2 linked regions of the Callithrix jacchus genome follow. The protein of the gene in region 2 interacts with the protein of the main gene of each other region in a pairwise test. Links are inferred from orthologs where the notes say so. Each region holds a gene or a part of one and is shown on either strand. Other genes may lie near its edges.

The links.
Region 1: the proteins of C7H1orf94 (region 2) and TBX6 interact in binary tests that used the Homo sapiens proteins (3 or more experiments, as listed by UniProt). The link is inferred for Callithrix jacchus from reciprocal best matches to the Homo sapiens genes C1orf94 and TBX6.

What each region holds. Positions count from the first base shown.
Region 1 is NC_133513.1:29,427,801-29,431,949, reverse strand, and holds the start of TBX6 (T-box transcription factor TBX6), read right to left. Parts: upstream 2,857-4,149; 5' UTR 2,100-2,856; coding exon 1,982-2,099; intron 1,899-1,981; coding exon 1,664-1,898; intron 1-1,663. UniProt on the Homo sapiens protein: T-box transcription factor that plays an essential role in the determination of the fate of axial stem cells: neural vs mesodermal. Acts in part by down-regulating, a specific enhancer (N1) of SOX2, to inhibit neural development.
Region 2 is NC_133508.1:70,759,587-70,763,148, reverse strand, and holds part of C7H1orf94 (uncharacterized protein C1orf94 homolog), read right to left. Parts: intron 3,020-3,562; coding exon 2,844-3,019; intron 1-2,843.

The DNA of each region.
Region 1 (4,149 bases), on a different chromosome or scaffold from region 2:
GATCTCTTAGCCCAGGAGTTCAAGACCGGCCTGGGCAACATAGTGAGACCCCATCTCTAAATTTTTTTTTTTTTTTGAGACGGAGTTTCCTTCTTGTTACCCAGGCTGGAGTGCAATGGCACGATCTCGGCTCAACGCAACCTCCGCCTCCTGGGTTCAGGCAATTCTCCTGCCTCAGCCTCCTGAGTAGCTGGGATTACAGGTACGCGCCACCGTGCCCAGCTAATTTTTTGTATTTTTAGTAGAGATGGGATTTCACCATGTTGACCAGGATAATCTCGATCTCTTGACCTCGTAATCCACCCTCCTCGGCCTCCCAAAGTGCTGGGATTACAGGCGTGAGCCACTGCACCCGGCCTCAAAAAATTAAAAAATTAGGCACTGTGGTGCACACTGATAGTCCCAGCTCCTCTAGAGACTGAGGCAGGAGGGTCACTTGAGTCTGGGAGGTCAAGATTACAGTGAGCCATGATTGCACCACTGCACTCCAGCCTGGGAAACAAGGCAAGATCTGTCTCTAAAAAATGAAAAAAGGTCTAGGTGTGGTGGTTCATGCCTATAATCCCAGCACTTTGGGAGGCCAAAGTGAGAGGATCAAGAGGTCAAAAGTTTCAGACCAGCCTGGCCAATATGGTGAAACCCCTCTCTACTAAAAATACAAATATTAGCTGGACATGGTGACATGCGCCTGTAATCCCAGCTACTTGGGAGGCTAAGGCAGGAGAATCGCTTGAACCCTGGAAGCGGAGGTTGGGGTGAGCAGAGATCACGCCACTGCACTCCAGCCTGGGCAACAGTCTCAAAAAAATAGTAATAATAATAAAGGAAAAAAGAACCCAGAGGGCAGAATCTTAGAGCTGGAAGGTTTTCTTTCTCATTTTACATTTGGGGAAACAGGACAGATGGGTTAGGTGATCTGTCACACGGCAGGTTAGGGACAGCCATGATTCCTACCCTTCAAAGCCTATTTACAGAAGCAGGGGTGACTAACTTTTCTCCCTGAAATGTTGCCAGGAGCTTCGTGTCCCCACCCTCCTCTCCTCCCCTGACTCCAACACCAGAATCTGCAGCTTTTATATGAACTTCCTTCAGAAAAAATATGCTGCCTGCAGTAAGGCTGAGGATTTCCCGTGCTAGGGCTTGAGCTCCTGCCCTAGATGAAGATCTCGACTCAGGCTACACACTGACCACATCCCTGCCTTTAGGGTGATCCTGAACCTAGTCATATACTGACTCCTATTCAAGGCGCATACTGACACTGAACCTCGACATACTGACTCCTACTCAAATCGCCAGACTTCCCTGATGCTGGTCACTGGGCTGGCCCTTGACCCCCTGTCCTTGTCTGAACGCTGATCTAGGCCACACACTAACCTATAAGCCAGCGGGACTTCCTGACCCTGCCCCAGACTGACCTATGACTCTTGCCATAGATTGGTCCCTAAACTCAGCCACAGACTCCACAGACTGACCCTTGACCCTTGTCACAGAATGACTCCTGATTCCAACCACAGAGTACCCCCTACCCCCAGGCCATAGATTCTAAGCCTAGGCAGAGCTCTACCCCCTTAGAGAACCTCCCAGACCTATCCCCCTCCCCAGGGACTCTGCCTTTCCCAAGAGACCCCCCCACCAGAAACACGGACCCTGGCTAGCCCCTCACCTCCCAGCTTTGGTGATGATCATTTCTGTTCCCACAGAGCTGAACTCCTTCCATAGCTCCCGGTTCTCCAGGATGAGGCTGACCCCAGGGAGGGAATGGAGGGCCTCTGGAGCTGATGGGGCCGGCTCTGTGCCCATGGCAGGGGGCAGAAGGGGCAGAGGTGGGGGAGCGGCCAGGGTGCGGGGAGCAGCCTCCATCCCGGAGAGGAAGCAATCCAGTTTGGGGGTATCCAGGTCTGGAAGTCGGGGAAAAATGAGGAACCAGCTGAGGGCCACAGTGCCCCCATTCTCCTACCCAGGAGCTGGTCCCAACGCTCACCAGGGTAGCGGTAGCCCTCAGCTAGGGCAGGTGGGAAGCTGGAGTCTGCCCCGGGTTGGGGGGGCCCCAAGCGGTAGCCGGCCCCCAGGGACGGGTACAACTCTCGTGGATGGTACATGTTGTAGTTCCGTCTGGCCTCAGGTCCCGCCGCCTAGAGCCCCCGGTGCTGTGAGATGCCCCCTTTATAGCTCACAGCTCAGCCCCTTCCAGACCTAGGATCACAGCCCCTCCCCTCTTTGGGGCCCTGGAGTTGGGCTGGGGTGGAGACCCCTGGGGCCTCGAAGGGGTCCGAGAGGGGGCCGGATACCTGGGTACGGTTCCCTCCTCCACTCCCTCCCCACCCCGGGCGGCTTCATTAGCCTCGACCCCCTGCCCCCTCATTACATAATTAACTCCTCGGCCTGATTGATCCCCCGGGCTCGGACAGGGACGCAGTTTGGCGCTTCCGGCCAGCTGGTCCCCGTTCCCACGGTGGGGAGCCCAGCCTAAGGATAAGCTGGGGGGCGGGGCCTGGAACCTGGACGGAGGCTGGAGTCCCGAGGCACACCTTCGCGCCCCAGACCTTCTGGCAGGTGACCGCCCTCCGTCCTCCCTCACTTGGAGGACAGGCCCTGGAGGGAAGCAGCATGACCAGAAGGAAACTGCAGGCTGGAGGGACGCGGCCTGAACTGATTTCACAGGGATCTCGGGGCCGCGAGGAGGCCGCAGCCGAGGCCCTAGTCCCGGAGTCTTCCCTGGTCCCCATGCTAAAAAAATAAAAAACTCCACCCTGGGCCAAGCCTCAAAAGTTCAGAGGCGCAAACAGTCTGATAGCTTCTGACGCCTCGCGCCAGGGTTTCCCAGAAGGTCCCGCTCTGAGGAACCCTCGGAACCACACTTCCCGGCAGGCCCAGCGCCCGAAGGAGCCGGACGGACCACGCGGGGGCCGCTGGAAGTTGTAGTCCGGCCGCGAGGGTCTGCTGGGTCGGGGACGCGGTTGCCTCCCGGGGTCGCTGACCCTAGGCGGAGGCCAAAAGCTGCAACCGAGCAGACGCAGACCAAACATGGTCAAGGCGTAGGCAGCCAGTGTGGGCTCAGGACCTTCGCCGACAGTGAGACCGTCCCGGTTCCTGGAGCCCCAGCTTGGACGGCCGTACCTACCCCATTCCCCGCTGGGGCTCAGACCGCACAGGTCTATAGGGGCAGAAATCTCCGCTTGAATTCCCCCTTCCCGGAGTGCACGCGAGCCTGGGCTGTCTCCACTCCATTGTTTTATTATGTACAAACGCTACAGAACGAGGGGGGCAGACACGCGTGGGGTAAGAGGGGCCTGGTGGGAGGAGAAGTTCACAGAGCAGACGGTGCACTGGGGCCAGGGGAGCAGCACACAGGCCATATCTATAGGGCAGGCGGGGCAGGAAGGGGTAAAAAACGAGATCCAAGCCAGCCAGATCGCAGGAGGTGTGGGGGCGTCGTCCCCCTTCTGATCTCCCCCCAAGGTCACAGTGCATGCAATAAAATATATGTACAGGAGCCGGATTCGTCCTCTGCAGGGGCCCTGAGGGTCCAGAGCTCCCTTCGGGCAGAGGGAAGCCGGTGGCGCTCCCTGGCGGCCAGGCCGGTCTGGAACCACATGCGTCGAGGAGCTGGGGTCAGTCCCAGCCGTTGTCTTTGATCATGTGGTTGAGTTCAATGATGTACTTCCCCTCTTTGTACTTCTGGCTGCTCTCAAAGGCCTGTTCCTAAAAGGAGGGGTGGGACTGTCATCCCGGGAGCAACAGTCTCACCACAAGGCACAGGGTTGGGGAGTGGACATGAGTGGCCCCATTTTACATATGAGGAAACTGTGGACCAGAGGGGCATGGCTGTGTTTCTCATACGTAGAACAGAACTTCCTGACTCGAAGGTACTTTTTAAGTACTAATGATGGCTCCAATAGAGAAGACAGGGAAGTGGCTAAAAGATTTCACAGTTCAGAGTTTGCAAACTGGTGGCTTCATGGCCATTTTGGACAGCAGAGGGTTTAATAAAAATAAAGTATTAAAATATAGGCAGGCCAGGCTGGGTACGGTGGCTCATGCTTGTAATCCCAACACTTTGGGAGGCCAAGGCAGGCAGATCACCTGAGGTTGGGAGTTCGAGACCAGCCTGACCAACATGGAGAAACCCTGTCTCTACTAAAAATACAA
Region 2 (3,562 bases):
AATGCTCAGCTTCTAGCAGGTGTAGGGAGCAAAGATTTTCAAAATTACTTAAATGAATGAGTAAATAAATACATAGAAGTGAGTAAATCGCAAGTAGGTGAATAAATGAATAGTGAATAACCAAACAAAAATGCAAGGGTAGAAGCATGTTGGTAAAGGAGTTAGTGACTCACCGAACAGGACATTCCAAGACCTGTGTAAGGACAATAGACTACTAAAATGAAACTAGTTCATTTTGGCTTCCTTGTTAGGTCACTTTCATCACAACCTCTCACCTCCACAATGAGGCATGAGCTCTCCCTCCCTGGGGAGGGGATAGGTACTTGTTCTCTTTAGCAAACATACAAGCAAAAAGCTTGAAAACAAAACAGAGAGGCTTTGCTAAGTTCTTTTAAGATTCAGGAGCTAAGTCTGGCGGGTCAGCTTGAAGAGTTGTTTTTTCATTTTTTTATTTTACTTTAGGTTCTGAGGTACATGTGCAGGTCATGCAGGGTTGTTGCATAAGTACATACTATATCCGGCATTTCTCCCCATGTTATCCCTACTCACCCTTCCCACCCCCTGCTGTCCCTCCCCTAGCCCCCCCAACTGTCCCCAGTATGTGATGCTCCTCTCCCTGAGTCCACTTGCTCTCATTGTTCAACACCCGCCTGTGAGTGAGAACATGGGGTGTTTGGTTTTCTTGTGTCAGTTTGCTGGAATGATGGTTTCCAGATTCATCCAAGTCCCTACAAAGAACATGAACTCATTGTATTTTATGGCCGTGTAGTATTCCATGGTGTATATGTGCCACATTTTCGTTTTCCTCTTTTTTTTAAAGATGGGGTTTCACCATATTGGTCAGGCTGGTCTTGAACTCCCAACCTCAGGTGATCCATCTGCCTTGGCCTCCAAAGTGCTTGGATTATAGGCATGAACCACCACGCCCGGCCAGTGCCACATTTTCTTTGTCCAGTCTATCATTGATGGGAGAAGAGACAATCCCCCTTCCCCATAGGACATAAGGCTTGCGCTGTGTTATAAGGGAAAGAATGACATAGGGTTCCAAGGGGTGGAGAGAGGGGAAAACATAGCAACAGGACAGGCCGAGTCAGAGGTGTTTCATTCTCTATTTTCTCACTTCAGGCTGTGCTGGGCCAGGCTGGGGCAGCAAATTGCCATGGTCCCGGATGCACAAGTTTGAGTTCCTGCCCTTCCCCCATACAACGACATGCAATTCTGGAGAGAGGCCAGTGAGGGGAACAGAAGACAGAAATCTTAGGCACAGAGAATCTTTCCTGAAAAAACTGAGTCCTGCCTAAAGGGACTATTTAAATTATTGGATTAGACTAAGGCTTAAACCAGAGTGGACATTTATTTAATTTTTCCCTCCTTCTACCCAGTGGGTGGTAGCTCTTAAGGGATATTAAGTTAAATCGACAAAATAAAGAAACTACATTTTCCCTGCATAAATAAGTTCTGTGAGTAGAATTTCCAGCCCTGCTAGAGGTGCTTTACTATCCTTTTGTGTCTGGCCACTAGTTTTCTCCTTTAGCTACGAGTCCAAGAACAAGAATGCGTGCCAAGTCACTTTGGTTCGTACAAGCTAAGACTGCTTAGGTGTAGTTTAAGTAAGGTGGCCATATACACTCATCCCTTGGTATCCTCAGAAGATTGGTTCTAAGGCCACCCTCCCTCTTCCGCCCTGTGGATACCAAAATCTGAGGGTGCTCAAGTCTCCGGTATAAAATGGCATTTGAGGGACAGATGCCGTGGCTCACGCCTGTAGTCCCAGCTCTTTGGGAGGCTGAGCCAGATGGATCATATGAGGCCAGGAGTTCGAGACCAGCCTGGCCAACATAGTGAAACCCCATCTCTAATAAAAATATAAAAATTATCCAGGTATGGTAGTGCACATGTCTGTAATCTCAGCTACTCAGGAGGCTGAGGTAGGAGAATCGCTTGAACCTTGGAGGCAGAGATGGCAGTGAGCCAAGATTGTGCCACTGCACTCCAGCCTGGGTGACAGAGTGAGACTCTGTCTCAAATAAAATAGAAAGGCACATGAGGATGCTCTAGTCCCTGATATAAAATGGCATAGTATTTGCATGTAGCTTATGCGAATGCTTCTGTATCCTTTTATCTCTAGATTACTAACAATGTCTAATAATGTAAATATGATGTGAACAGTTATTACATTGTATTATCTTTAACTCGCATTATGTTTTGTTGTTGTATTGTTGTTTTTTATTATTTCCTTCTTAAAATATTTTCCACCCAGACTGGTTGAATCTAAGGATGTGGAACCCATGGATACACAGGGCCGACTGTAATTTGTTATCCAAACCAGGACACGAGAGTGAAAGGGATGCCATTAATATTATTTTGGAACAGAAGACCAAAATCGGGAATGTCCCAAGTAATCTAGGATATATGCCATCCAACCTTAAAGGAAGTCACAGGAAGGAAGTGGGAAACAAGGACTGCCATATCATCTTCTCCTGGGAGCCCAAGCACTTAACCAGCCACAACCAGCCAAACAAGGCTGTCAGTGAAGGGCACAGCGTAGACTGGAATTCAGACAATAGAAAGTTAGGACTCTATATACATATGTGTGTGTAGATGTGTGCATGCACGCACCTAAACCGAGGGGTAGGTCTGATGCGACTACAGTGAAAAAATAACCGACAAGCTGACAAGTTGACAATGTCCTACCATAGCCCCTGTGAAGCCTCTTCCATGTAGGGAAGGCATTCAGAAGAGTCTAGAGGCTCCTTGTGAAATAGGCCCCTGCCAGCCACACCTCCTCTGTGGCCAAAAAAAAAGCATGGATATCCACAGGAGAGCCAGGCCCGCTCACTGACCTGATACTGCAGGAAGGTGGAGGGATTCGGGAACACTGGTGGAGGTGGATAGTTCAGGTTGAGCCAGAATGGCTGGTTCAGGGTTGCTGAGGTCAAGGCTGTAGCAAAGTGTGGAGTGAAAACATTCCCTGTGTGCTTCAGGATGTTCTTGTCAGCAACCGTCACAGGTGCGTTAACTGCAAGTCACAGGAGAGGTAAAGTGGGTCAGGGATGGAGGCAGGGAGAGGCCAGGACACCTTCAACATTGCAACTTCCCTGGGGATTCAGTCTCACAGGTCAGGTCCCTTAAGCTCCAAGAGGGTTCTTCAAAGTTCTAGTACATTTCCAACTATAGATAAACATCATTAATTCATGCCTTGCCAATTTGGAAGGGATGAAATTCCCAGCAAGTCTGGCTTGGAACTTTTCTTTCCATCATTCACTAATAAAGAAGGCAGTTTAGCAAGGGAATACAATAAACCAGATTGCTAGGGCTGCATTTCACCTACTTACAAAATGAAATTATTTCAACTGCTTTAGAGAAATCCAACTTTATATGAACCATTGCTATGCCATTGGAATTCATCCTTATCAAATTATTAAAGCAGCCCCTCCCTAAGGATATATATTTGGCAATGCTAAGAAACTTGCACAGGTTGTTGTATCTATATATGGGAATTAAAAAATATATTTTAAAACATTAAATATTTTAAAACATTAAATTCAGCATGCAGTGACTC